Linked DNA regions of Macaca fascicularis. The protein of the gene in region 2 interacts with the protein of the main gene of each other region in a pairwise test. Links are inferred from orthologs where the notes say so. Each region holds a gene or a part of one and is shown on either strand. Other genes may lie near its edges.

Evidence for each region.
Region 1: the proteins of DISC1 (region 2) and DMD interact in a two-hybrid assay, tested with the Homo sapiens proteins (2 studies listed by BioGRID and IntAct). The link is inferred for Macaca fascicularis from reciprocal best matches to the Homo sapiens genes DISC1 and DMD.
Region 3: the proteins of DISC1 (region 2) and TRAF3IP1 interact in binary tests that used the Homo sapiens proteins (3 or more experiments, as listed by UniProt). The link is inferred for Macaca fascicularis from reciprocal best matches to the Homo sapiens genes DISC1 and TRAF3IP1.
Region 4: the proteins of DISC1 (region 2) and RNF40 interact in binary tests that used the Homo sapiens proteins (3 or more experiments, as listed by UniProt). The link is inferred for Macaca fascicularis from reciprocal best matches to the Homo sapiens genes DISC1 and RNF40.
Region 5: the proteins of DISC1 (region 2) and PAFAH1B1 interact in a two-hybrid assay, tested with the Homo sapiens proteins (2 studies listed by BioGRID and IntAct). The link is inferred for Macaca fascicularis from reciprocal best matches to the Homo sapiens genes DISC1 and PAFAH1B1.
Region 6: the proteins of DISC1 (region 2) and TNIK interact in binary tests that used the Homo sapiens proteins (3 or more experiments, as listed by UniProt). The link is inferred for Macaca fascicularis from reciprocal best matches to the Homo sapiens genes DISC1 and TNIK.
Region 7: the proteins of DISC1 (region 2) and tubulin beta-2A chain interact in a two-hybrid assay, tested with the Homo sapiens proteins (2 studies listed by BioGRID and IntAct). The link is inferred for Macaca fascicularis from reciprocal best matches to the Homo sapiens genes DISC1 and TUBB2A.

The regions. Positions count from the first base shown.
Region 1 is NC_088395.1:33,307,148-33,311,284, forward strand, and holds the start of DMD (dystrophin), read right to left. Parts: upstream 2,801-4,137; 5' UTR 2,565-2,800; coding exon 2,534-2,564; intron 1-2,533. UniProt on the Homo sapiens protein: Anchors the extracellular matrix to the cytoskeleton via F-actin. Ligand for dystroglycan.
Region 2 is NC_088375.1:17,082,038-17,085,537, forward strand, and holds part of DISC1 (disrupted in schizophrenia 1 protein), read right to left. Parts: intron 2,671-3,500; coding exon 2,394-2,670; intron 1-2,393. UniProt on the Homo sapiens protein: Involved in the regulation of multiple aspects of embryonic and adult neurogenesis. Required for neural progenitor proliferation in the ventrical/subventrical zone during embryonic brain development and in the adult dentate gyrus of the hippocampus.
Region 3 is NC_088386.1:134,242,586-134,246,085, reverse strand, and holds part of TRAF3IP1 (TRAF3-interacting protein 1), read right to left. Parts: intron 1,446-3,500; coding exon 1,302-1,445; intron 1,206-1,301; coding exon 789-1,205; intron 1-788.
Region 4 is NC_088394.1:28,931,132-28,935,346, reverse strand, and holds the start of RNF40 (E3 ubiquitin-protein ligase BRE1B), read right to left. Parts: upstream 2,801-4,215; 5' UTR 2,714-2,800; intron 2,638-2,713; 5' UTR 2,567-2,637; coding exon 2,435-2,566; exon of another isoform or gene 2,125-2,434; intron 2,005-2,124; coding exon 1,837-2,004; intron 1,705-1,836; coding exon 1,563-1,704; intron 931-1,562; coding exon 724-930; intron 171-723; coding exon 49-170; intron 1-48. Other genes in the region: CFAP119 (cilia- and flagella-associated protein 119), read left to right, coding at 3,352-3,555, 3,873-3,904.
Region 5 is NC_088390.1:2,806,446-2,809,945, reverse strand, and holds part of PAFAH1B1 (platelet-activating factor acetylhydrolase IB subunit alpha), read right to left. Parts: intron 745-3,500; coding exon 588-744; intron 1-587. UniProt on the Homo sapiens protein: Regulatory subunit (beta subunit) of the cytosolic type I platelet-activating factor (PAF) acetylhydrolase (PAF-AH (I)), an enzyme that catalyzes the hydrolyze of the acetyl group at the sn-2 position of PAF and its analogs and participates in PAF inactivation.
Region 6 is NC_088376.1:82,933,349-82,937,289, forward strand, and holds the start of TNIK (TRAF2 and NCK-interacting protein kinase), read right to left. Parts: upstream 2,801-3,941; 5' UTR 2,486-2,800; coding exon 2,429-2,485; intron 1-2,428. UniProt on the Homo sapiens protein: Serine/threonine kinase that acts as an essential activator of the Wnt signaling pathway. Recruited to promoters of Wnt target genes and required to activate their expression. May act by phosphorylating TCF4/TCF7L2.
Region 7 is NC_088378.1:169,917,117-169,921,367, forward strand, and holds the start of tubulin beta-2A chain, read left to right. Parts: upstream 1-1,451; 5' UTR 1,452-1,532; coding exon 1,533-1,589; intron 1,590-2,855; coding exon 2,856-2,964; intron 2,965-3,272; coding exon 3,273-3,383; intron 3,384-4,083; coding exon 4,084-4,251. UniProt on the Homo sapiens protein: Tubulin is the major constituent of microtubules, a cylinder consisting of laterally associated linear protofilaments composed of alpha- and beta-tubulin heterodimers.

The DNA.
Region 1 (4,137 bases), on a different chromosome or scaffold from region 2:
ATTGATGAAAGAGTATGATAAATCATTTTTAATAAGTTAGGAAAATATTACAATAGAAAGTGGGAGGAGAAGGAAAGTTTGGGAAATCAGTTTGTTTTACTCTTGAGATAAAATTTTGATGAAAGATAATAAAATAGAATTTTGAAAAACACCTGATGTTTCCAAGGCAATGATTTTAATCTCTTTTATTAAACTACACAAGTGGTTAAAAACTTGACAATTTGTTTCATATATAGCAAATGACGTGGAGTACAGGGATTTCAAATGAATGCTATAGGAATAAAGAGGAAGCTGTATTAATATCTCTGCCCAAATGATGAATTTGCAATTCAGTACTGTCTAGCTAGAAGTGTCAACCAACACCTATTTCCCCTTAAATAATGTAATTATGCATAAAACACTTTGTAGTCTTTTTTAAAGTTTAGAATAACATCTATATGACATACTCTGTTGTATTTTTCATAATGTTATGCCATGTAAGATACACCAAAACTTTGTATTAACAGTATATCATCAATTTAGATCAGCGATCTCTTTTTCATAGTTAAGATGTCTTTAAAAGATTCTGCAAATGAAATTCTAAAAGATGATTTTGTTAGACCTCAAGATGACTTACATCATTTAAATATATTCAAATGAAATATCTATTTGCCATACACTATTTGAATAATTCTTTACAATGCATTATTTGAGTAATTCTAAAAGTAAACAATACAATGTGTTTGACAATACAGTGATCTCTTTTACAGAGTAACTATTCTGTTTAAAAAACAAAATGTACTTTTATAAGTTTTTCAAACTAAGGCGAATTTACAAACCAGATTCAAATGTCAGACATCCAAATAGTAGTATATTGTCAAGCAACAAAATTTAATGTATAATATAGCCCTGAGTATATCTCCATTTTCCTTAACAAACTCATTGTCATGTTGCATAGGCATTACTTGATGATTTTTTAAATGCAGTGTGAAAAAATCCTACAGGACATGTTCCAAAAAGATTACCTTCCTTCACATTCGAAGAACTGAAAGTTTTTCAACTATCTATGACAAAGCAGAGGATAGGTTTACCTTGCTTCATTCCAGCAGAATTGCATATATTCTTTCAAAATTGCTCTATATACTGGTATATGTGGTTAATTATATAGAATATATATATATATATAAAATCACTAGCGATTTTGATAGTATTTATATTACATATATCAAAGAAATAAAAATGATAAATAAAAATATGTGTATATGTGTATATTGCAAACAACAGATATATGCCATGCATATTTTTGTAATGATAGTAAATATAATAGTTTTTCAATCTAAAAGCAATAATGATACTCACCAAAAGAAATTTATGAAGCAAGCAAACAATGTAACTAAATGTTGTATTATAAAATCTGGTAGCTTTTAATGTGACTCAATACATGGACAATGTTAACTTATTTCCACAAATTTTTCACAGTGGTAAAACGTCTGCCTTTTTTTTTTTTTTTTTTAGTAGTTGTGGAGCATTACTTATTTGGAGAGACTTATTTTTTCATTCTTAATTATAGGCATCGCTCTCATATCTATTTTAGAATAACTATACTCCACAAGTCAAAGATAGGTGGGGAAGAGATAAACTCCCATCTTTTTGGGACACACAGTCCTTATCATATATTATTTTTACTGTTGTGCCACAGTCCATTTTTAAATCCTTCAATAGTCATCATGACTTTCTTAAAAATAAACAAAATAGTTGCATTTCTATATGGAAGACAAACTAAAAAATTGAACTGAAAAGCTAGCTCATGATAGACTTGAAACATCTACTAAATATAATTTACTACTAAACATAATTAGGAGTTCCTCAAGTTTGTATGTTGTTTTCCCAAGAGATCATCTGATCATTTGATAGCATAGATCACATCATTATTTGAAATAATCATCATGGTATGCTATAGAAAAGAGCATTTGAAATAGTAAATGTGAGAAAGCAACATTACAATTAAATCTTTATCAATACTTTTCACATCCTTCAATTTTCCATCCCAACTCATTTTATTCTTTATTTTCTCCATATGTCAGAGAAACTTCTCCTAACTTTTAGGCCTCCATGTAGTTCCTATACAGTAGTTAGTTCAATTGAGAATATATGTCAGGTCAGTAACCTTTATGTAACTGTTACTAAATACAGAAGTATCAACTAGTCAAAATAATAACTGAGATATACAAACTATCTCACAGCAATCAAAATAATCTGTTATAATCAAATGACATTCTGCATATTCTATTACTGCAGTGGCTTATTAATCAAGAAATCATGTGTTTAATTCTTCTGCAAAGAAAAACTTATAAACTCAATTTCTATTGAAAAGTTTTCCCAATGAAAAATATATATTCCTGAATAAATACATATATATATGCAGTATATATAACATTTATGCTTCTTTGCAAACTACTGTGATAATTTAAAATCAATCTACCTAATTAGTGAGTTTGTCACAAACTAAACATTATGCCACAGTAAAATACATTTTTAGTTACTTTGTACTTACAACAGTCCTCTACTTCTTCCCACCAAAGCATTTTGAAAAGTGTATATCAAGGCAGCGATTAAAAAAACCTGGTAAAGGTTCTTCAAACTTTATTGCTCCAGTAGGCTTAAAAACAATGAGAAACCAACAAACTTCAGCAGCTTTAAAAAAATAACACTTCAGTTTTTCCTATTCATTTTTCTCTGAAGGTAATTGCCTCTAAGATCTGAGTCCCGTAGGGGGAAAGTGAGTGATCCCAACACTGAGTGAGTCAACACAGTAACTGATGCCAGGATTCTGTAGAGGCCCCTGGATATTTCAAATTCCAGGACCTGCGCACAAGCAAGTGACCCGCCTTCTCTCTCAAGTTGGTTTCCCATAATAGGACTGTCCATGGTCACTACATATAAGGTTGTGCTTCCAGCATGGCAAGCTCTGTGAATTCAAATAATGCTCAACTGTGTTCTGATTAATATCCAAACCAGAATAGCACAGTGGACATAGTACTAGCTTTTAAAGCCTTCCAAACACAAAAACTATTCAGTACAAAACCATAACAATATTTTCTGTAACTTTCATGTGAATTTATAACAGAGCAGAAAATCCCGATTTAAAATTGACTTTTAAATGCCTTTTTTATCCTCTCAACAACACCAAAAATTTCACTCTACCAAATAAAAAGAAATGCCCAGAATAATCTATGCATTTGTTATGTATCCACTGCCTACCAAAGTTATTTTTTCCCCTTGAGATTTTTGATTGCAAAAGTCATGTATTGATGATGCCAACAGTCTGAATAAGAGAAGCAGCAGCAGAACACAGCAGCTGAATTCTGAAGGCAGAATGTGTGTGTAGGTCTCATGGGACATGTTTTCCTGCTAAAATAAAGAATATTCTTATAATGGAGCAAAGACATTTTTCTCAAATCCTAAATTTCAGTTGTGAATTATGATAAAACTTCTTTACTAACAAATTATTCTTTCTTCCATTTCTCTGCTGCCAATTCTTAAAACACCATTTTCTTAGACATTGAGTTAATGATCATTTAATGGTTCTGAATGCAGGCTCTTTTTTTTCTGTATTAAGTGAATGCAGTTGTATTATGTCATTCAGCATGTAAATCATTCTTTGCCAATAGAAGTCTTCTTCATCTTGTTCCTTATTACTTTTATGCAACAGGCGAGCCCCAAATTGATAGAAAACATTGGTAGCATTTTTTAAAGAAAGATATTCTTTTTATAGTTATAATAATCCCTACTAAAATTTTTGTTTGAGTGTTTTTATTGTACCATTTGTTAAAGTGACAGACTCATTTTTCTATGTCAAACATTCAACTGCTTGCGACTGAAATGAGTAATAGACAAAAATAAAAAAAAATTATAGAGTCAGACTGTGATGTTTACCTTAATAGTTAATTATACATTTTGCGTTTTAGAATATTATTGTCATAACATGGCTATTTTCCCCAGCAAAATGTGTATGAGATAAAACATAAGGCTTAATTTTAATTGAAAACATTCTTTTCCCTAGGTCACCTCCTTTCCTCTGTGTGGTTGTCTAAATATGCATATAAGCAAAATTTTCATAAAACAAAATGAAAAAAATGAAAACAATTGTTGTGGGGC
Region 2 (3,500 bases):
GATAGCGAAAGCCAGCAAAAGCTATAAGGTCCCCTCTAAAGCACCCACTCTCCCCTAAGACGGCAACAAATAAATATAGGACATCCTCAGCATTTCAGTTGGTGGAGAGGATCTGGGAGGCTTTCTGGGGGACCCCTGGAGCACCCAAACAGCAGCCACCACAGGACCTAGGATAAGGTTCCACTCTTTATTCATCCTTGACCCCAAGCTTCCTATTTTTCAACAAATATAGCTCTGTGTTCTTATAGCCAGATAGTGAAATTGACAGGTGCTTATAATCTTATGCAGGAAAATGAATCCTCCTATGCCTGGGAAAGTCTGTCCTCAGAGAGCCTAGAGGGCTCAGGGCTCAGTGGGAAGGGCGGAGAAGCGGGGAGAGAGGGAGGAAGAGAGTGATGGGGTTCAGAATGCACTACCCCAAAATATGGCACCTTGGCATTTGAGGAACAGCAGAAGCAGGAGTCTCTCTGACCTTCTACAGCCATTCTCTCCTGAAGCAGGCCATAGATAATTCTCTGACCTTCCTCTAACCATCGCTGACCACCCTCATCCTTAAAGTGTACAACCTATACCCAAAGGAAAGGAGTGTCCTTATCTCTGAAGACACAGGGATGCAGTGAAGAATCTGAGCAAACAGGCCTTGCTAAGCTCCCCGCAGTTTATTGCCATTAGATCCTATTCCTTTTGTCCAATTATACTTCTCCACATCTGTCTGCTATTCTTCAAACTTAAGCATAAAAATACACTGGTTTCTGTTGCTTTGGGTCTTCATTTCTGCAGCCTCCTGTGTCATGTAAATTTTATATAAAGCAAATTTGCACATTTTTCTCTTGTTACTCTGTCTGCATAGGGGCCTCAGCTGAGAACCTTTAGATGCATAAAGGAAAGATAATGATTTTTCTCCCCTACAGGAGTAAGGGATCTCTGCTGAATCAGTCCTGGCCTCCAGCAGAATCAATGACCCATGGACTCCATCACATACCTGGCATGGCTTCTGACTGCCCCACACTGAGCTCCTCCCGGAAGCTCACTTTGAAAAGCCAGCCACACCTTCAAAGACTCATTTCCGGAGCCTGCAGTTTCTTCCACCCGGGAATAAACCCTTGCTTAGGTGGCACTTCCCTCCATCCCAGAATATTCTTTCAAACCATCCACCTGCAGCACGTGGTAACTTTTCAACACCTCTACCCAGAGCACTGGAAACCAGGCTTTGCTGGAGGATTCCACCTGCAGCAACTGGGTTAACAAAAGAGGTCAGATGTCTATAAATTATAGTAGAGCCTGTGATTGGGCCAGCAAGGATGCAGAGTGACAATGGTTGCTTTCTTATAAGACCATGGAATCCAAATATAGGATCAAGGATCAATTTTCCAAGCAGTCCAGAGGCAGTGACTAAGAACACAAATGTCTGCTCTTTGAAGGTCATGGTCCTGCAGAAGGGATGTGAGGCTGCCAGGGCTGGCCTGGGGAGGTAACAATTTCCTCACCCACCAGTGGTGAGTCCTGGCAAAGACCCAGGGAGGAAGCACAGCTAACATCTAACATCAACCATGAGACTTGAAGGCCATGTGTCACGTTCCTCCAGCCTCTCTATGCTATTTCCTTTTCACACTCAGAACACCTGGGAACCTGGGCCAACAAAGAGCTCTGAAGACTCAGGTCATGGCACTGAAATCAGGAAAAACTTCCCAGGGCCTTTTTATGGAAAAGACTCTTGTTACGGCGGGAGGAGGAAAGTGAGAAGAGGAAGGGGAAGGGAGAGAGGAAAGAGGGGAGAGAAAAGTAAAGTTAAATAAAACCATATTTTAATTTCTAATACATATATCTCAGGCCAAACTTTAGTTGTGTTTATGAAAGAAGAACATTATAAATATTCATTACGATCTGGTTTTGGTAAAAACAATTAATGGGATAAATACATATATTTGAATGTTTCATTCAAATAAATAATAATATATTGTAATATATAGATTCTAAATATATAATTAAATATCATATGATACATGGTATATAATGTATAGTATATATGTCAAATATCATGTATGGCATATATAATCTATAGTGTATATGATAACTATGTTATATATGACATATATAATGTATGCTATATATGGTAATTCTATATTAGACTGCATATTCTAATTCTAGCCACTAAATTAGAATGAAAATGGAACTAAATATGCCAAAAGTTGGGTTTTTTTGCTCTTCTATATTTCAAACTTTGACAAAAATTCTACATTATTTTGTAATCATATTGAAGCTACTGAAACTTTTAAAAGTTTATATGCTCAATGGGAAGCCCTCCCAATATATATTGTTCCCATTTGGAGCCTGGTCCCAAAGCACCCCTTAGAATAGGGGTCCCCTCTAGAGACCATGTGGAAAGGACAGACCTCTTTCTGTTCGCCTCCAGCACAGTACAGAGAGGGGATGAGGTGAGCCTTCCATTCTTCCAATGCCTGCAAAGGGGTCTTCCTTTTATCCTCGGAGTGGAGCCTGGGGGTAATGGGAGGAGCAGCTATACAAACAGCTCCCTCTAAGGCATCCATCTGCCTCTCATCTTCTACAGACAGGCTTCCCCTGGCTTCCTGGAGTTGTAGGCTCTGCATAAGCAATCGACAAGCTTCCAAGTCAGCTTCCCACACTTTCCCAAGCAGTGGACACTTGCAGCTGAGACAGAGAGGAAACAAAGGCATAAAAATAAACTCAGTGATGTTTCATCATACCAGGTCAATAGCTTGTCTACCAGGCTAAAAGTCAGCCAGTCATCTTATACTTGATGACTTAATTTCACAGTGATAAATTACTTCAACTAGAAGACGTATCAGAGGGACCACATTTGTACACCATCAAGTCACCATGAAACGTATTGGTCCTTAGCTGCTTGGTCTGCAAAGGCATCCAAAATCCTATGTATTTTTCCAGACTCAGCAGCCCAATACAACACAGTTTCTGCTCATATCTGTGTTTCCAGCCCTACTGTCTTGCTTTGAATCCTCAGACCTGTCCAACTCTTCCAGGCTAGATCATCTCTCTCCGTCCATTCCCCACCAACACACATACACCCAGGCCTTCATCTGACTACATCATATTATCTTCAGAACTCGGCTTAAATAACCTTTTTGGGAGAAACATTCCCTGCCTTCCAACTGGAAAATATGATGGATCTCTTAGCATTTTTTACTTTTATTTCAGAATATTTATCACAATTCTAATTATTTATGTGATTATTGTTTTGTTTTACCTGAGGGCAGGGCTTGTAACTATGTTGTTCTCCACTCTATTGCTAGACTCTTTGTGTTAGTCTGTTTTCATTCTGCTAAAAAGAACTGCCCAAGACTGGTTAATTTATAAAGGAAAGAGGTTTAATTGACTCGCAGTTCAGCGTGGCTGGGGAGGCCTCAGGAAACTGACAATCATGGCAGAAGGTGAAGGGGAAGCCAGGCACCTTCCTCACATGGTGCCAGGAAGGAGAATTGCAGAACGAAGTGGGAAGAGCC
Region 3 (3,500 bases), on a different chromosome or scaffold from region 2:
GCTAAGGTGGAGGCTGCTCCAAAGCCTTCAGAGCAATACTGAGAGTGACACAAACGACACAAACGACACGCACGGGAGAAGCCACACATCTTAAAACACCTGCGAGACAAGGACAAGAGCAACGTGGCAAATCAGCTCAAACTCTGAAAAACGCTGATTTCTCTACAGGCCTGGTGGGGAATCATTAAACTCTAAAAAGAGCAAGCATTTAATAATATTTTCCTGACTTCCCCCTTCAAATTATCTTCTACCACTCCCAGATCAAAATTCCATAAAGGGAGACCTCAGAAACCACTATCAATTGATCAATTTCATCCAATGTTTCCTGATCTGAAAAGCCCATCACCCCTTGCCTGGATGCTCAATCCATTCCACCACCAGGTATTTACTGCAAAGCTGCTGTGTGTCAGACACTCTACCAGACTGGGTATCCAACAGTGAACATGAGTGAAATCTCTGGCTTATGCTCTTAGGGAGCTTATAATCCAGCAGACGTCTCCCTAGACATGAAGTAGGAAATGGTTAAAAACTCACTGAATAATGCCTTAATAAATGATTGGCTGAACAATAAACTTCTATTAAGGGATGAACCAAAAACACCCAAAACACAACTGACAAGAAATAAGTATCTCTTTGGGTTTCTATTGAGAATCCAAGATTGTCGTAATTTTAAATAGGCATAAAAGAAAACCAGTTTCCTAGTCACACTGTAAGAAAGATAAAAATCATGTTTGAGGCCACCACAAACTCTTGCTAAGCAAAAGGCGAGGTTTTCAGGAAGACTTTACCTTTTTCTCAGGTTTGTCATGCTCTCTGTTCTTCTCCCTGTCCAGGTCCCGGGAGTGCTCCCCGTTTTTCACTCTCCGTCTGTCCCTGTCCTTCCCTTTGTCTCGGTCGCGCTCTCGGTCCCTGTCTCTCAGTCTCTCCTTCTCTCTTCCCCCCTCACTCTTTCTGTCTGTCTCCTTCTCACGCTCGGAGTCTCTGTCCCGCTCCCTGTTGCCTCTGTCTTTCTGTCGCTCGCTGTCTGGCCTGGCCCGGGCTTTGGGTCTCTCTCTCTCCCCTTCTCTGTGTCTGTTTCCGCCATTCTCCTTGGCCTTCCCCTTGTCCTTGTCCTTTTCTCTTGGCTTGCTGTCTTCTTTCAATTCTTCTTTCTGTTTTCGATCTCTGCTTGTACTTCTCTCTTTTATTTCAGAGTCTCCTCTATCCTACGAAATAAAAATAAAATCATTTATGAACGTTTTTACCTAAACTACAAAAAGACTCACTATTTCATTTTCAAAGATGTGCGACTTGCAATTCACCTCTGTATTTTTGTGAACTCTGGACTCCTCTTCTCGCACATTCTTATTATCCAATTCCTGAGATCTTGAGGTCAGTGAGGCCCGGCCTTTCACTTCTCCTTTCTCTCCAGCTAAAACCCTCCGTACCGCATCGTCACTGGAGAGCTTGTCGTCCAAATGGAAGGAAATGAGGTGTTAGGTGAAATGAGATCCGCACACGTAACAAATAGAACATCGCCATTGAAAGATAGCTCATGAGACAGATTCTCTGTCTACAATGAAATTCAAAGGATAAAATATTTTTTGAACATGTTATTATCACATACAAAGCACAGCATATCTTGATAACTATTACTTTCAGCACTTTGGTCATTAACAGTAGCATCCACCCAAGCTAAATGAATCCTGGTTCAAGTCTACCCAAGCTGTCAAATGTGAATGTGTGTGTTCAAGGTCAATAAAGCTGACCCATGCCTTAAACTTCTAATGGGATCGTAGAATCCCAGCCATAAGTGCCTTAAGATTTTATCTAACCACCTCACACCCATTAGGATGCTGCTCCTAAAAAAACACAAAACAACAAGCATTGGCAAGGATAAGGAGAAATTAAAACTCTCATGCACTGTTGATGGAAATGTAAAATGATACAGCCATTATGGAAAACAGTATAACAGTTCCTCAAAAAATTAAGCACAGATTTACCATATGACCCAATAATTCCCCTTCTGGGTATTTATCCAAAAAAATGGAAAACAGGGTCTTGAAGAGATATTTGTATATCCATGTTCATAGCAGCATTATTCATAATAGCTAAAACATGGGAGCAAACTGTACCATTGACAGTTGAGTGGATAAACAAAATATGGTATATCCATCACAATGGAATATTATTCAGCCCTAAAAAGGGATGAAATTCTGATACATGCCACAACATGGATAAATCTTGAGAATGTTATATTAAGTGAAATAAGCCAGTCAAAAAAAGGACACTCTATGACTCCACTTATCCGAGGTCCCTAGAGTAGTCAGATTCATAGAGACAGAAAGTACAATGAAGGATGCCAGGGGCGGGGGACAGGAGAAGAGGAAGTTAGTGTTTCATGGGGACAGAGTCTGTTTTGCAAGAAGAGTCCTGGAGATGGAAGGTGGTGATGGCTGCACATGACTGAATTTACCAGCACTGAAGTGTACACTTCAACATGCTTAAGATGACAAATTTTATGTTATAGGGATTTTAACATAATAATAAAATTATGGGGGGAAAAACTGATCTAATTCAAGCCCCGTCAAATGCAGAAATTCCTTCTCCAGCATCCCTGACAGCCACCCAGAGTGTAGGACACCTCCAGTCAGGAGTCCCACTCACTCAACGCACTCATTCCACAAGCACACGCTGAGTGACTGCCACATGCCAGGCTCCATTTAGGCCGAAGACACACCATGTACTGGGGACACAGACAAACACAACAATTAAACAACAGGCTATAGGAAGCCTACAGGGGCACCTAAGTCGGCCTGGGAGGGAGGAGAGGCCCAGGCTCAAGGAAGCGCTCACAGACGCCACATTGCTGCTGGGTGAGGCTGGAGGAGGAAAGCAGCTCAGGCACCAAGAAGCCAACAGGCACCAGGGCAAGAGGCTGACGGGAGACAGCAGGCCAGGGCTGAATGCAAGGGTGCATGGTGACTGGAGTGGAGGGCTCAGGTGTGGGAAATGAGAGAAGGATCTGAAGGGAAAGAAGTAGCAGCAGGTCTCTAGGGGGCTCACAAGCTGTGCCATGGAGCTGGCTCGGCCCCAAGGCTACTGGAAGCCGGAGAAGATTCAGCAAAGGAGATAGGAGCCAGATGTGCTTTTTAAAAAGACGAGCAACATAAAGGACCCGGGAAGGGGAGCTGGGGAGTCTAGGCACAGAGGCCAGTGTACTGGCAAAATCTGCTTCCAAGTCTCTAAGTTTGTATGCTGGACCTGCACCGGGGGGGCCTCCTAGGAGTCAGTCTGACACCACTATGCACCTCCACGACCCACTGCTGTTGAGGGGGCTGAAACCTACCTGTTCCCATTTGGGTCACATTTAAGGTTAGCCCCCAGCCAACCACCCACTAGGTATGTGAAAAACTGTATTAATCATACTCTCAATACAAGTCCAACCTGCTCCTCCATGGGGGACCACTCGGCCTTCAAAAGAAGGAAGACCCTGGGGAAAGACCTTCTCCAACGTTTGG
Region 4 (4,215 bases), on a different chromosome or scaffold from region 2:
AAATCCTGCCTGATTCTAATCCCACTCCCAAAGCCCCTGGCTCCTCACCTCCAATGAGATGCGGTGGTGTTTCTCCTGCAGCTGGGTGGCCAAGTCCTGCAGTCGCCGGTTCTCACGGCCCAGCTCTCGGGTGCGTGCCCGAGCCACCTCACTGAGGGGCTCACTGTCCCCTGGGAAAGCAGGGCCCAGGTTAAGAGTCCAGCTCAGGGCAATGGGGCAAAGAACTAACTCATTCTGGAGTCTGCTATGTGCCCAGTGTGATCCCCCGGCTGTCTTGCCAATTTCTCATGACAAAGCTAGGAGTCTTTATCTCCACTGCACAGAGGAGGAAACCAGCTCAGAGAGGGGAGCCACTTTCCCAGCACGTCCAGGTGAGGGTGGCAGAACTGAAGTGGGAGAAGCCTGTCAACCTACAAGGCCTGAGCCCTTGAAGCTATGCCTTGTGGATCTGCAACCCACACAAAGTGCTCCAGAGGGGCCTCTGGACAGGAGGCTCTACTAGCATCAACAGCTCCTCCAACCCATCTCTCTAGCATTCAGTCCAGGAATCAAAGTTGGAACCCCCATCTACAGCCTAACCTACCCCTCCCAAGAACGTGGCTGATATATTCCTTGGGGAATTCTGGCCACCCTTGGACTTGGGCATTAGGGGAATTGGAAAGGGGTGCCATCAAGATGCAGGTAGGGATGGACACCTCTTGGGTATGGGCACAAAGAACCCACCTCGGCTATACACTCGCTGACAGAGTTCCTCCACCCGGCGCTGTAGGCGGTCTGAGGCCTCTACCACATGAGACACAGCTGCCTTAGAGAACTCCATTCGGCCTTGCAGCTCCAGCTCCACCTCCTCACTGCTGCTGGCACCCAGTGCCACCACAAAAGCCAAGGCCGGCTCACTGAGAGGGGGCCGCAGCTGCAATGGCAAGGGCTCTGGAAGGAATGGACAGACCCTCATGAGGATAATAGCAGCAGTTACCACCACTCTGTACTAAGTTCCAGACTGAGCCCTTCAATATTCATGGCTCACTTAATCAACACAACCTATAGTGCACTATTATCTCCATCCTGAAAGTGAGACAAATGAGGTTCAGGGAGGTAAAGTAATTTCCTCAAAGCTACAGAGTTGCGTATCACATCCTCAGAGATGCCTCCTGTACTTTCCCAATAAAAATTAGAATCTCACACACACACACATGTGCACACACAATTATTCCCTTTCAAGAGCCCCAGTACTTTCTGCTTACTATGTTTGTAATTTCCTCCCTCATAGCAAATGCAATGAGCAAGTACCCATTTCTAGAAAGCGTCAAATACATAGTTAACACTCAACCGTAATACTGTTTCCAAACAAATGGGTGTCAAAACATGAATTGCTCTATAAACCAAGTTAGTCAGAGTCCAAAGCCTGTATTTTTGTGCACTGCACTTTACCACCCAAACATGAAATCCATTTCGTGGGGAGTAGTAAGGCAGGCAATTCAGAGGCCCAACACCAAAGTCCCCTCCTCCCCAGGACTTTTCCCAGAACTGAAGCTCCCTAGATCCCAGAACTCTGGTCTCACCCCTCAGCTCTGATGTCCCCGGCTCTGGGAGAGGAGTCCCATCACATGTGGGCCCCTCCTGGGTCCCAGGTGCTTCAGGCGCTGAAGACAGCTCCCCCTGGCCCTCATGGCATCGGAGAAGGGCTTCCACAGTTTCATCCAGCTGGAAGGAGAAAGCATCAAAAATGTTATGAATCCCTTAATGCTTTCCAACATTATACCCCTTTTCCAGCAGGGGAATCTGGGGATTGGCAGCTGAATCAAGGCCTGGTCTTGGAAAGCAGAAGGCATCCACCTGGGCCCAGTAGCGATTGACGATGAGGAGTGTGGCATCATCTGTGGCCTGCCGCTTCTCCAACTTCTCAATTCGTTCTCGGAGTTCATCTTCACAAGCCTGCCGTTGTTCCAGCCGCTCTGCCAGTTTTTTGTTCTTGAACTGTAGTACCTTCAGGTCCATCTCCTCCTACCAAAGGAAACAAAGGGGCCGACGAGAATATCAAGCAGAGCCCAGAAACCAATCACACAGAAAGAGAGGAGCAGAGCATCTGGAATGCATGGGAGATGGGGGTATTCCCACACTAACCGCTAACAGAATCTAAGGAGGCTCACACAACCCACAGCGAAAGTGTCTTGGTTGTGAGGAGGCTCACGTTGTTTCTGCCTGTCCCCTTCTAACTCCTTAGTCTTTGACAAGTCACACGCCCCCTGGGAACCTGTTTTCCTATCTGTAAAGGGAAGACAGGCGTCGTGTTCTCGGCTTCTTTCAACAGAGTATCCTGTAACGCGGACCTTGCTAAACTTGGGGAAGTGGGTGTAAGATTCTGGACAATTTGGCCAGGGAACAGAGGGAGGGCTCTGGGAAATTCTGAGGGTTAAGGCAAGAGCCCAAGAACCGTGGAAGAGATGCCTCCAAGACGAATGGGCTCGATAAGAGTGGTGGTGGTCTTCTCCTCACGACTCAGCTTCTTCTCCGGGGGCCCTGAGCCCCCGTCGCCGGCGGCGCGTTTGTTGCCTAGCCCAGACATGGCCGCGGCGGCTGGAGCGGCGCAGGGTCCCCTGAGGGGCGTCAGACGGGAGGAGGCGGTACTTCCGTCACCTGCAGAAGACAGAGAGCAGAGATGTGGGAACGGCTGGTGTTCCACAGCCCCAAACACCCTCCACCCCGCACACACCTGCTGGATCCCGTCCCCGCCGGCGCCAGAGCCCTCACCAGCAACAGGGTCAGCCTAGCGCCGCCATCTTGGATTTCACCGGACGTCACTGGACGTTGCTGGCCCCCCCAACGGTGCGCAGGGCGCAGGCGCCGGAGGCAGCCCCGGATGTGAGGAAACTTCATTATCTTCTGCTTCTATTGGTTACGCTTGGTCCCGCCTCTCGGGTCCTCTGGCTTCTTCCCAAACACCTTCTCTTTCTCTCGGTGATTGGCCAAGAGGCAGTTCCCATAGTAACTGACACCAAGCTCCCACTTCCCGGCCTTGAGGACAGCGCCGGCCCTCGTATTAACAACTTGGAAGAGAGGGTGCTCAGGTGGGCACTCGCAACTTCTTACGTATCTGCGCGTTCTCTTCGCACCCACTGGCGTGAGCTTGCGTTTCCCGCCTTCATTCCTTCACAAGCCCCCTTGGCAACCGTCGCCGTTGAGACGGAGGGAGACGCCCCCACGGATTCGCTCCGCCGCGCCTCTCGGCGCGCAGATTGGCCGGAGCAAGGCTAGCGGGCCCGGCCTTGGTAGCCTCAGACCGAGCGCTGGCTGTCCTGGAACCGAGGCGGCGGGAGCCCGGGGCGCGCCGCGGCACGGAAGAGCGGCGAGATGCTCAACCGCAAGACCAGCCACTTTTTGGGAATGAGGGTGCAGTCGGAACTTGAACATCTCTCCGAGCTGCGGCGGGAAGCGGGGAAGGATCGCATCTCAGCGCGTGGGTCGGCCGCGCGGACGCGAGCGAGTGTGCGGACCCAGTCGACGGCGGCGGCGGCGGCGAAAGCGGATGAAGACCCCGGAGCCAACTTGTTCCCGGTGAGGGCGGGACAGTCTGGTCCGCTCGTGAATATTTATAAACGGGCTCCCCCGCAGGCACCAATCGTCATTATGCTTACTAACGTTCGGGACGTCTCCCGCGCTGCCTGGGCAAGGAGAGGCAGGGGTGTGTGACCCTGGTGGTTATTGTGCTCGCATAGAGCACCTAGGGCCTCCTGAAGCCCGCCCTCGCCCGCGCCTCTCCTTCTTAGTCGTTGAGATGAGATGGCAAGTTACAGCGAGTTCTGGGGCCCGCTGCAGATTCGCGACGGCCAGGACACCACAGCTGCCTTCCCCAATTCGCTTTCTTTCCGCAGCCGCCGCTGCCCCGACCCCGGATCTGCATGTGGTGAGTGTGAAGAGACTTGGGGAAGAGTTACACTGAATATTTGCGTTCTTCCTTTATTGCCTCCCCAACAGTCCTGTCTGTGGCCAGGGCATCCCCATTTTTACAGATGAGGAGACTGAGGCCCAGAGATGCAATTACTCCAGGTGACTGGAAGCCAGCTTTCCAGCATCCCCAATCCAAAGAGGAGACAGTGTGAGAAAAAAAGAGCCAAAGACAGGATGTAAAGGGAGTCTCATGACTGCTATGGAGTATTGTACAGAGGGGGACACTGAGGGCCACAGGGGGGATTTGACCAAGGTCATACAAGGTAG
Region 5 (3,500 bases), on a different chromosome or scaffold from region 2:
TAAACTCTGGTTTCCAAAACCAATGTTGTGCAGTGCAGAAAGTAATGTTTTTATTATAAGGCTAACGATACAAAGAGTTAAGGAAAGGAGAATTTATTTATTTATTTATTTATTTATTTTATTTTATTTATTTTTTTTTTGAGACGGAGTCTCCCGCTGTTGCCCAGGCTGGAGTGCAGTGGCGCGATCTCGGCTCACTGCAAGCTCCGCCTCCCGGGTTCCCGCCATTCTCCTGCCTCAGCCTCCTGAGTAGCTGGGACTACAGGCGCCCGCCACCTCGCCCGGCTAGTTTTTTGTATTTTTAGTAGAGACGGGGTTTCACTGTGGTCTCGATCTCCTGACCTTGTGATCCGCCCGCCTCGGCCTCCCAAAGTGCTGGGATTACAGGCTTGAGCCACCGCGCCCGGCCAGGAAAGGAGAATTTAAAACAAATGGTAGGAATCCACAAAATTTTCATCTGTCTTCTCTATTCTGCTCTGAAAGCACATGGTCATTTCTTACCTGGCAAAGTTCACATGATCATGTAAAACACTGTTACGTCTGGCACTCCAAAATCTAATGTCAGAGACGTCACGAGGCGTACATACCCAAGGAGGTAACAAAGTGTTCATGCGCATTGAGGGTCTTCATGCATCGCTTGTTCTTGTAATCCCACACGCGCAGGGTCTTGTCATCAGCACAACTCAAAATAAACTTCCCCCCAGAATGGAACAGAACTCCACGTACCCAGTTATCATGACCCACCTTAAAAACAAAAAAGTTACTTGACTTAGTGAAAGGACAAAATGTTTAAATAGCATCTATTTAATAATATGATAAAACTATACATACCAAAAACATCAAAAGACACCAAAAGACCAAAAGAAAATAAAAGTCTAGGGAATTCTAGATTAAAGGAAACTGAAAACTCGTAAGACATGACCAGCAAATATAATGTATGATCCTTGACTGGGTCCTGGATGAGGGTTAAAGAGAAGTCACGCAGGGCATTATGGAAATAACAAGAACAAATCTGAATATGTAGTCTATCAATGGTAAATTTCTTGAGTGTGATTAATTTTATTGTGGTTATTTATATACTATCCTTGTTCCTAGGTGGTTCATGCTAAAATACTTGGGGGTAAAGTGTACGATGTCTCCAAGGAACTCTCAAATGATTTCAGCAAAATATACACACATACATGAAGGAAACATGTTAACTAGGTGAAGGATATACAGGCATTCACTATATATCCATCCATCCATCCAATCATCCATCCAATCATCCATCCATCCATCCTCCAATAATCCATGTATCCATCCATGTAATCATCCATCCATCTAATCATCCATCCATGTATCCATCCATCCATCCATTCATCCATCCATCCATCCATCCAACCATCCATCCAATCATCCATCCATCTAATCATCCATCCATCCATCCATCCATCCCTCCATGCATGCATGCGTCCATCCATCCATCTAATCATCCATCCATCCATGCATCCATCCATCTATCCAATCATTCATCCATCCATCCATCCATCCATCTAATCATCCATCCATCCATGCATGCATGCGTCCATCCATCCATCCATCTAATCATCCATCCATCCATGTATCCATCCATCCATGCATCCAATCATCCATCCATCCATCCATCCATCCGTATTTCCCGTCGCAGCAGTTCCGTTCTTGCAATTTATCTTTAAGCACATGCCCAGAGATTCAGTTAACAAAGATGTTTGCAAAGCACTGTCTGTAGATCAATGTACAAGAAGAGCATCTAACAACACGAGCAAGGATCACATACTTTCTAAATTAAAGGTTTGCTACAAAGCTACATTAAGGAGTATACCATTTTTATAAAAAACAGCACATTCATCTACACATTAATTTAAGAAAAAGGCTTAGAACTGCACAGTTGAACATGGTAGCTACTGTCCATGTACGCCTTTTTTTTTTTTTTTTTGAGACGGAGTCTCACTCTGTCGCCCAGGCTGGAGTGCAGTGGCCGGATCTCAGCTCACTGCAAGCTCCGCCTCCCAGGTTCACGCCATTCTCCTGCCTCAGCCTCCCGAGTAGCTGGGATTACAGGCGCCTGCTACCTCGCCCGGCTAGTTTTTTGTATTTTTTAGTAGAGACGGGGTTTCACCGGGTTAGCCAGGATGGTCTCAATCTCCTGACCTCGTGATCCGCCCATCTCGGCCTCCCAAAGTACTGGGATTACAGGTTTGAGCCACCGCGCCCGGCCCATGTATGCCTACTTTAATATATAATAGTTAAGATTACATACAACCAACAATTCAGTTCTTCAGTCTCACTAGCCACATTTCAAGAGTATAACAGCTGCACGTGGCTAGCAGTTACCATGCTGGATAGTGCGGTTATAGCACAGCATTGCAAAGTTTTGTTTTGTTTTAAAAAGAGACAGCAACTCTCTCTGTTGCCCCGGCTGGAGTATAGTGGCATGATCACAGCTCACTAAAGCCTCAAATTCCTGGGTTCAAGTAATCCTCCTGCTTTAGCCTCCCAAGTAGCTAGGACTATAGGCATGCACCATCATGCATAACTAATTTTAAAATTTTTATTTTGGTACAGACAGGGCCTCATTACGGTGCCCAAGCTAGTCTTCAAACTCCTGGGCTCCTCCTGCCTTTGCCTCCCAAAGTCCTGGGATTATAGGCGTGAGCCACTGTGTCTGGCCAAGAGTATGTTTTTCTTTCTTTTTTAAGAGAGTCTTGCTTTATTGCCCAGGCTGGTATGCCATGGTGCGATCTCGGCTCACCGCAACCTCCATCTCCCAGGTGCAAACAATTCTCATGCCTCAGCCTCCCGAGTAGCTGGGATTACAGACATGCACCACCATGCCCGGCTTTTTTTCTTCTTTTTTTGAGACAGAATTTTGCTCTTATTGCCCAGGCTGGAGTACAATGGCCTGATCTTGGCTCACCGCAACCTCCGCCTCCTAGGTTAAAGTGATTCGCCTTCCTCAGCCTTCCCGAGTAGCTGGGATTGAAGGCATGCGCCACCAAGCCCGGCTAATTTTGTATTTTTAGGAGAGACGGGGTTCCTCCATGTTGGTCAGGCTGGTCTTGAACTCCTGACCTCAGGTGATCCGCCCATCTCGGCCTCCCAAAGTGCTGGAATTACAGGCATGAGCCACCGCACCCAGCTACGCCCGACTAATTTTTGTAATTTTAGTAGAGACGGGGTTTCACAACGTTGGCCAGGCTGGCCCTGAACTCCTGACCTCAGGTGATCCACCTGCCTCAGCCTCCAAAAGTGCTGGGATTGCAGGCATAAGCCACTGCACCTGGCCAGATTTATTTTATTTTATTTTATTTTTTTTTTTTTTTTGAGACGGAGTCTCGCTATGTCTCCCAGGCTGGAGTGCAGTGGCGTGATCTCGGCTCACTGCAAGCTCCGCCTCCCGGGCTCACGCCATTCTCCTGCCTCAGCCTCCCAAGTAGCTGGGACTACAGGCGCCCGCCACCACGCCCGGCTAGTTTTTTGTA
Region 6 (3,941 bases), on a different chromosome or scaffold from region 2:
GGAAGGTGGAGATGATCTGCCCTCTGATTTGTGGAGATTACCTATGTGGCCTTTGGACCCACTCCAGCAGGCACACCTCACCCACAAGACTGGTCAAAGACCCTGGCCCCACATCTGCAACTGTCTCCACATCTGCATCTGCATCTAAGTCTTCTAGCCAGCAGTTCCTGGTCCCCAAGCTAGCTGTTGCCCTCTCTGTTTCCACACCTCCCAGCAGGCAGAAAAACAGCAGCAGAGCCCTAAGCTGATAGCCCAGGCCACAAAGAGCAATTTCAGTGCATTGTGCAAAGATATGTTTTCAAAATACAGATCACAAGAATGCACACCCCAAGTGTGATCCGCAGTCATCCGCCCGGTGGCCCTCAGCGGTTGCTCTCGTGCCTGCAGGCTCTGTGCTTGGTATCTCAGAAAACCTTCCCGAGGAAAAAGCCCACAAGGGACAAGTCCGGGCCCAACTTAAAAATCACATCAGACTGCTTTCCAGTAGAGGAGCAAGGTGGAGATTCCGGCCCAGGGAAATCACCGCAAACCCTGCACATTGTTCAGAACCTTTCCCCCTTTGCCACTGCCCCCCGCCTCCGCCACCCCGACCCCCGACCGACTCGCAGCACCCCACCCCCAGTCTGGGCCATCCATCCACCTGATTAACCCGCCGGCAGCAACTCCCAGCGCAGAAAGTAGGGCAAATGAACACACACAGTCGGTAAAGCAGGAAGCCACAGACCTGGCCAATGCACCCACCCTGTTACCAACCCCACCCCGCTGCGCAGGGGGCAGCCGGTTCTTGATGTGGCATTTCCACTCCAGGGAAATAGACAGCTTCCTGTAATAATGCATGAAGGAGCTTCGGCTGCCCAACTATCAGAACAGCCCATTTCAAACGGCATCTCTGTTTCTTCTCAACTCCTTACCTGCCTTGCTGAAGCCTCACCTCTTGGCCCAACAGATTAAGACGAAGAGAGAAAGCGTTATTAAAAGAGATGTGGAGGAAAAGGTTTAATTAAGGAGACCAAAGAGAAAGTACCACTTTGATCACAAAGGTAGCACTTTAATATAACAGTACAGAAAGAGGCAATGTCAGAAGTACTAGGAATCCAGGTAAATGGCCCCAAGATTCAGCATCAATCTAACAATGTATTCCTCAGGAGGGCGTGTGAACTTCCATACTTCATCCATCCTGGTGTCTCCCTGTAGAAAGCCACCATCAATTCCTTCTCATCCACCCTCCATACATCAAGTACATGCACTCGCTATTTTTTAAATTTTATTTTTGGTTCGGGAGAGGAAGAAGCAGTCCTTAAATTGGTGTCCAATCCTTCTCAGACACCCGCTGCTGCCACCATCCCCACCCCTCACCCCTTCCCAGCAGGCAGCATCTAATTAAAATGACAAGAAAGCTCTGCCCCCTTCCCCGAAGGAGTGTGTTGGGATCGGGAGTTGGGGGTGGGGAAGCGTCAAGGCAGCACTGGGATTCCTGGTATTCTGATCTCAAAACAACAGCAAAATGGATTCTGTATCAGTGATGTCTTAGTCAATACAATGAAACGGCGTCTGAGGTAATTCACGTGAAGGTAAACGCAAACCAGTGGGGCTGGGGGGAGGGAGGTGCTCTACAAAGGACCGGCCACAGACACGGGGAAAACACACATACACACACACACACACTCGCACACACTCCAGGGAGTTCCGGTCTGATTGAGGAAAAGCAGAAAACACATCCCTTTCACCTGCTTAAGTTCAGCCATAAAACTGAAACGTTACAGCCACAAAGTCAGAAAGCACAGGCAGGGCTGAGTTAAAGCCATAAATAAAGGTGAGTGGCAGACTGGCATTTAAGGGAGCGCTGAGAGGGCGCCCGGGTGCGGGAGGCAGAAAAGGGGGAGGGGGAGACAGTTGCCATCTACAAGACAAGCATAGCAATAACTGCCCCCTTGGAGCGGCAGGTTCGGCTTCGCGGGGACAGTCAGCCTCACAATGTCATCTTGCAGGTAGCTGGAAAACGTGAGGAGCCAGTGCCTTTATTCACGCTGGCATTCTTTTTGCAGAAGGGACAGTTGGGTCTCGCTCCTTGGCACCAGACAACTGCCCGGGGCGTGTACACACGTACACACCAACACACACACACACCTTTCATTTTACTGCTCTTACACCGGTATAAGATGAAAGCATAAGCTCCACGAGCTCCACGAGCCCTCGGGAGAGCCTCGGCCACGGCCAAAGGAAGACACGTACCGCACAGCCCCTGCCGTAGGGGCTCAGCCGGGAGCACCTCAGCAACCCCGAATCAAAACGGGAATCCAGGTTCCCTCCCCGACGCATTCTCCCGCTGCTGTCCCCCAGCCCCAGCCCCTGCCCCCAGTCCACGCACCGAGCCCATTCACCCTGACCCAAACCACTGGAAAGAAACCAGAAAACATGTCCTGCTCACCCTCAGAGCCGAGAGATCTATTTCATCCAGGCTTCGAGCCGGGGAGTCGCTCGCCATGTCTACTTCTTCGCTGGAGAAATGGACCAAAACCACCCCCAAGCTTTTCCCTTGGAAATTCCACCTTGGTCTATTTCACTCGCGTCCTCATGCGGGTATCGCGCCAGAGGCCCCGGGCCCAGCCTCCCCCGCCCACCCCAGCCCCACAGCGCCGGATCCCGATCCTCCGCGCGTCGGTCCGCCGGGTCCGGGAGCCCAACCTGCGCGGATCTCCAAGCCCGGAGCAGCGGTGCGTGTGGGCTGAGCGCCCCGATCGGCTAAGGGCGCTGGGGCTGCGTGGGTGTATTTAAATGGGACATGCTTCTTTGCTTGTGCGTGGATGGCGGCTGCATTGGCTGTTATAATGAGACACATCAACTCCTCCACTCAGCGGGGGGAGGGTGGGGGTGGAGAACCACACAGAACTGTCTATCACCGCTTCCTGGGAGGAGTGAAGGGGGTGGGGGGGAGGCGGAGGAGGCGTGGTCTTGGACTGGGGAGAGGCCGCGCTTCCTGACCCGGTCCCTCCCCGCCAGCGTGGAGGGGGGAGGGGCGCGCACCCTTTCCGCCCAGGCTTTTGAGGGCTCCTGGGGCCAAATCCGAAGGGCTGTTCCTGAACCTTGACTTGCTTATCATAGGGACCCAAGCTGTATTTTTGTGTGGCCAATTCGTGCACTGCAGCAAAATGGCCCTTCAGTCTCATCTTGGGGTTTCTCCTCGGTTCAAATGCTCTCCCGCTGAGAAAAAGCCGGAGGAAAAAAAAGCGACACCCTCCCTCCCCTGTTAATTATTTGTGGGGCCGGAGTAAAGCGGGCTGGTGCAATCGGTGCATATAAGGACTTGTGTGCAAGGAAGGGGATCCGCCTCCAGGCGCGGAAAGAGTGGGGGAGAAGCGCACACGCACAGTGCACTCAGCTGGGCGCTTCGGCAGTTTGCAGCTGCGGCGGGGTCGGGTCCAACCGCGGTCCCCGGAATGCGGGACGGCGGGTCCCGGGTGCTGGTCACTCGCCGATTCGGGACCGGGAAGGTTTGCCAGAAGCGGGAAAGATGGGAGATCTGAGCGCTCTCTTGGCATCGCCACACCCAGTACCTGCTCGTGCCGCAATTCCCCACGGAAACAACCGAGTTGAACCGAGAAGCTTGTTCTTTGGGTGCAGTAGCTAGAAGGCTTCAGGTAACTCCAAAGCCAGCACTGGGTGAGGCAACACACGCCGCCTCAGGACTCAGCATTTCTTTCAGGCTGCATTTTCGTGTCAGACCTACCCAGATTGATGGAGAAAGTTTGGCTGGCGGATAAGAAGTAACGCGGAATATGTGTACGTGAGAGCGATTTCACTTCACCCACTTTCTCATTTAAAGGTTGGATGTTTTACAGTGGTATACATGATCCTTTTTCTGTAATGAAGAGTGCGAAGTCGCTTCCCCCAATCCCCGCGCAGCCCTTCTTCTCCCGCCTTAGCCACGCAAAATACATACA
Region 7 (4,251 bases), on a different chromosome or scaffold from region 2:
TTATATAGTCGGAATGTGCTGGGAACCAAAGGCAGTCCCCAGGCCCCTGTTACCTAGTCCACTGTGCAGGGCCATCTTTGTGAATAATTAAGACTAGTCCTTACCACAGCCCACCCAAGCCTTTAAAACTCACCTGGGCTTTCTCTTTGTACAAAGACTTTAGATTCCTTCCTTTACTAGCTTTGTGACTGGTCAGGTCTTTCAGCCTCGCTTTCCGAGCTATGAAATTGGGGTAGTAATAATGCTTACCCCAAGCCAGTGGTAGTCAACAAAAATATGCATAAGTGAGCAGCAAATGGAAACCAAGTATGTAATTTTATATTTTCTAATCTCAAAACAAGTCATTTAACACAATGTATCCAAAACACTATTATTTTGATAGATCAATATTTAAGAATCAATAATGAAATATTTCACATTATTTTAACTTACTGAGCCCATAAAATCCAGTGTATACTTCACACTTAACAGCACATCTCAGTTCAGACTACCTACGTTTCAATGTTCGGCAGCCACCATGCCTAGGGTCTACGGAACTGGACAGCCTAGCTCCGAAAGCTTCCCTGAGGATCAGGTGACCTAAGGGGTGTAAGGGGCAGGGCCATCAGCTGACACATCAACGTGGCAGATATATTCCTCCTGTCTTTCCTCTCTGACACACACACACACACACACACACACACCCGCAGAATTTTCCACATTTAAAAGGCCTTTACAAGGACGCAGGAGCCCAAAGCAGACATGTGACAAATCCAGCCCTTTTCTAGACCCCCCAACTCCCACCCCAGACCAAGCCATCTTCCTTCCCTGTAGGGGCGAAAGGGCGCCCACCCTGCCATCCTGCCATTCCTTTCAGGCAGCTGCCCGTCGGCTCCCCGGGGCTCCACACTCCTCTCCACGCTGCCCACCGCCTCCCAACGGCGCCCTGGCCCCTGCCCAGGATGCGGGAAACCTTTGCTACCCGCTGGAGAGCCCAGTGCAAATGGGTCTTCAATTTCCAGTTCCCCACTCCAAAGGGTACTCGACACCTCTCCCCGCCCCCTAGGAGGCGAGGACCCTGTTCCGAGGCAGCCCCTCCCCCTGGTTCCGGGGCCCCGGTCTCCAGCCCTCCTTGAGGGTCCAGAGTGGGCGGGGCGGGGTGGGGACTGCGGCGTAAGCGAGGAACCCAGTCCCAGGGGTCGCCCGCGCCCGTGGATCCGGCAGGGGGCTGCGGCGGGGTCCGAGGTCCGGGCACCGCGGTGACCGCGGGACAGCGGGGCCGGCGGCCCACCCCAGACCCAGCGGCAGCCGCAACGGGCCGAGCGCCCCCACACCTCGCACCGCGCCCCGGCTCCCCCTCGCGGTGCCGCAGTCCCAGCCGCACCACCCCCGCGGCCGCAGCCCCGCCCGTCATGACGTCACCGGGCAGGGCGGGTCCCCGGGTATAAAAGACGGAGCTGGGGGGCGGCGGCAGGTCTCCGCGCAGCTAAGCCCGCCTGTCCACGCCGCGCACCGCTCCGAGGGCCAGCGCCACCCGCTCAGCAGCCGGCACCATGCGCGAGATCGTGCACATCCAGGCGGGCCAGTGCGGCAACCAGATCGGCGCCAAGGTGGGTGCGCTGCCGCGGAGGGACCTGGGGTGGGGACCGAGGGTGCGGGCTGGGGCTGGGGCTGGGGCTGGGGCCGGGGCGGGGGCGGGAGGCCGCGGCGACCCCGGGCTGGCTGGGTGGCACATTCCGCGGCGAGGCCGCCGGGCGGGGCCCGGGAGGCTGCATGACCCGTCAGGATGCCCGCAGCGCCGCAGCTGTGCGTGCGTTTAATCCGGGCCCTTTCGATTTCCCTGGGACACAGCCCTTCTGAGGGACGCGGTTGGCATTCCGCTGGGTGTATTTGTCTCAGAAGCTTGGGTCGGGGCTACGGTCACATTTATTGCGCTAGCTTCATATGAATTTAATTTGTGTATTTATCTCTACGGTTTGAATGAAAACATGCAGTGTCACTGGACTGACAGATGTAACAGAGGCTTCCCTTTGGGTCGTACAGGCGAGGGTGTTAGATAAATTTCCTTGCTCGGGCACTGTCTTGACATGATCACATACAACGCGATAGTTTTGCTGCCAGTCCCCGAGGCGGCAGGTGACTGCGCTGGGCGGGGGCTGCAATTACTGACCGCTGTGTGGGAGGCAGCAGAGGGCCTGGTGCATGAGTGGGGGCGGGAGCCAGTACAAGGACGTGGTCTCTTTGAGAACCGCCATGTTGCCCACCCAGCCTCCCCGCCCCCTCCCTGCCGCAAATTCACAATGGAGCCAGCGCCCTCACCATGGCCAGCTCCTTCCACTGCCGCCCAGGTGCCCTCCCAGGCTCCTGATGCCCTTCGCCCAGTCCCTCCGGTGGTCAGTGCTAGCATTAAACCTGCACTGTTGCAGGGGTGCCTGGGATCTGTGCCAAGAGAGCTTGATCCCTGGAGGCAGACACAGGGTGGGTCCCCCTGTCCTTGGTCCTGCCACGACCCATCAATCATCCCGGATGCAGTGGCATTCAGCCCTGCCTGGGGTGACAGAGCCTCCCTGTACCCCTTCTCGATTTCTCTACCCTCCCCACACTCTCCCTAGAAGGGCATCTGCTGTGCCCCCTCCTCCTCCAGGGCCCCTCCCAGCCTTTCAGTCTATCGCCATAATATGGCCGATGCTCTGCAGATTTTCAAGCCCCTCAGCAGCGGCTGCTGCAGGAAATAGGGGGTGCAGCTCTTTGCTCTCTGTCTAGCACTTACTGTCTGACCACAAAAGCCCCTGTTCCAAGGACATGGGAGGAGGACAAGGCCATCCTTAGTGACATTCAGGATGCAGAGCCATGGTGTGGTTCTTGTTTCATTTCAGTTTTGGGAGGTCATCAGTGATGAGCATGGGATCGACCCCACAGGCAGTTACCATGGAGACAGTGACTTGCAGCTGGAGAGAATCAACGTGTACTACAATGAGGCTGCTGGTGAGTAGCGGGATGTGTGTGCCCAGGAATCCTTGTTTTCCATGATGTGGGAGATGAAATGTCCTAGGAACATGCACGTGACAAAGGCATGCTTCTTGCATATTCATTTCAAATGCCAACTGCTGGAAAAACACGCTTTATGGTTTCCTAAGAGTCCTGCCTGTTTGCCACAGTTAAGCACGCTCAGGACCTCCTTTTTCTTAAAAGCAGAAAATCTCCTGTTCTCCTTTTGTCTCAGATGCTGGAATTGAATGCTGCTGTGAGTCCATCCCTAAGCACAGGTCTGAGTCAGTTCTTGTTTCCTGCAGGTAATAAATACGTACCTCGGGCCATCCTGGTGGATCTGGAGCCTGGCACCATGGACTCCGTCAGGTCTGGACCCTTCGGCCAGATCTTCAGGCCAGACAACTTCGTGTTTGGTATGTAGTCATGATCACTGGGAACTGGCCAAATGACACCTTCTTCCTAACAGCCCTGCAAAGCACAGTTCGTAGTGTTCAGTGCTGAGGTGACACTGTGTCCACGGCAGCCCTGAGTCCTGGCCTAGCTCCATGCAGTCCATGGGCGGTCATGGCTCACAGATCAACGCCAGCCTGCAGAGGGCTGCCGCAGCTCTTCCATTGCAGAGCAGCCTCAGACTGGAAGGAAGAAAGAGCAAGGAAAAGCTTCAAGCCAGGCTTCATAGGCTATAGGCAACTTCAAAGGACTTCAAAGAGTCAGGGGCCAAAAGCACAGGTTATGACCGGAGCTAGACAGATGCTGAGGCCACCTTCTCTCCTAGTCACACTGCTTTCACCTTGCCTGTTTAATTGTACTTGAGTATAAAGAGAATGCCTGTTAAAAATGTATGTATTTCAGAACCAATTAAGTTTTCTAACCCTATCCTCTTCCTCAGTAAATAGCCTCCGATGAGCTAAACTTACTTCTTAACTTTATTATGATCCCCAGTGTTTTTGAGGTCGCTGACACAGAAAAATATTTCTTCAGGTAAAAGAAGAGTATTCAAAAGAGAAGAATCTGCCAGTCTAAGACCAGTCCTACCTTCTCCTCCATAGTCAAAATGACAGATTTTGAAATTCCTTATGTTTTAGTGTCTAATGTTCACTTTCCCTCTGGCAGGCCAGAGCGGAGCTGGGAATAACTGGGCCAAGGGCCACTACACAGAGGGAGCCGAGCTGGTCGACTCGGTCCTGGACGTGGTGAGGAAGGAGTCAGAGAGCTGTGACTGTCTCCAGGGCTTCCAGCTGACCCACTCTCTGGGGGGCGGCACCGGGTCCGGGATGGGCA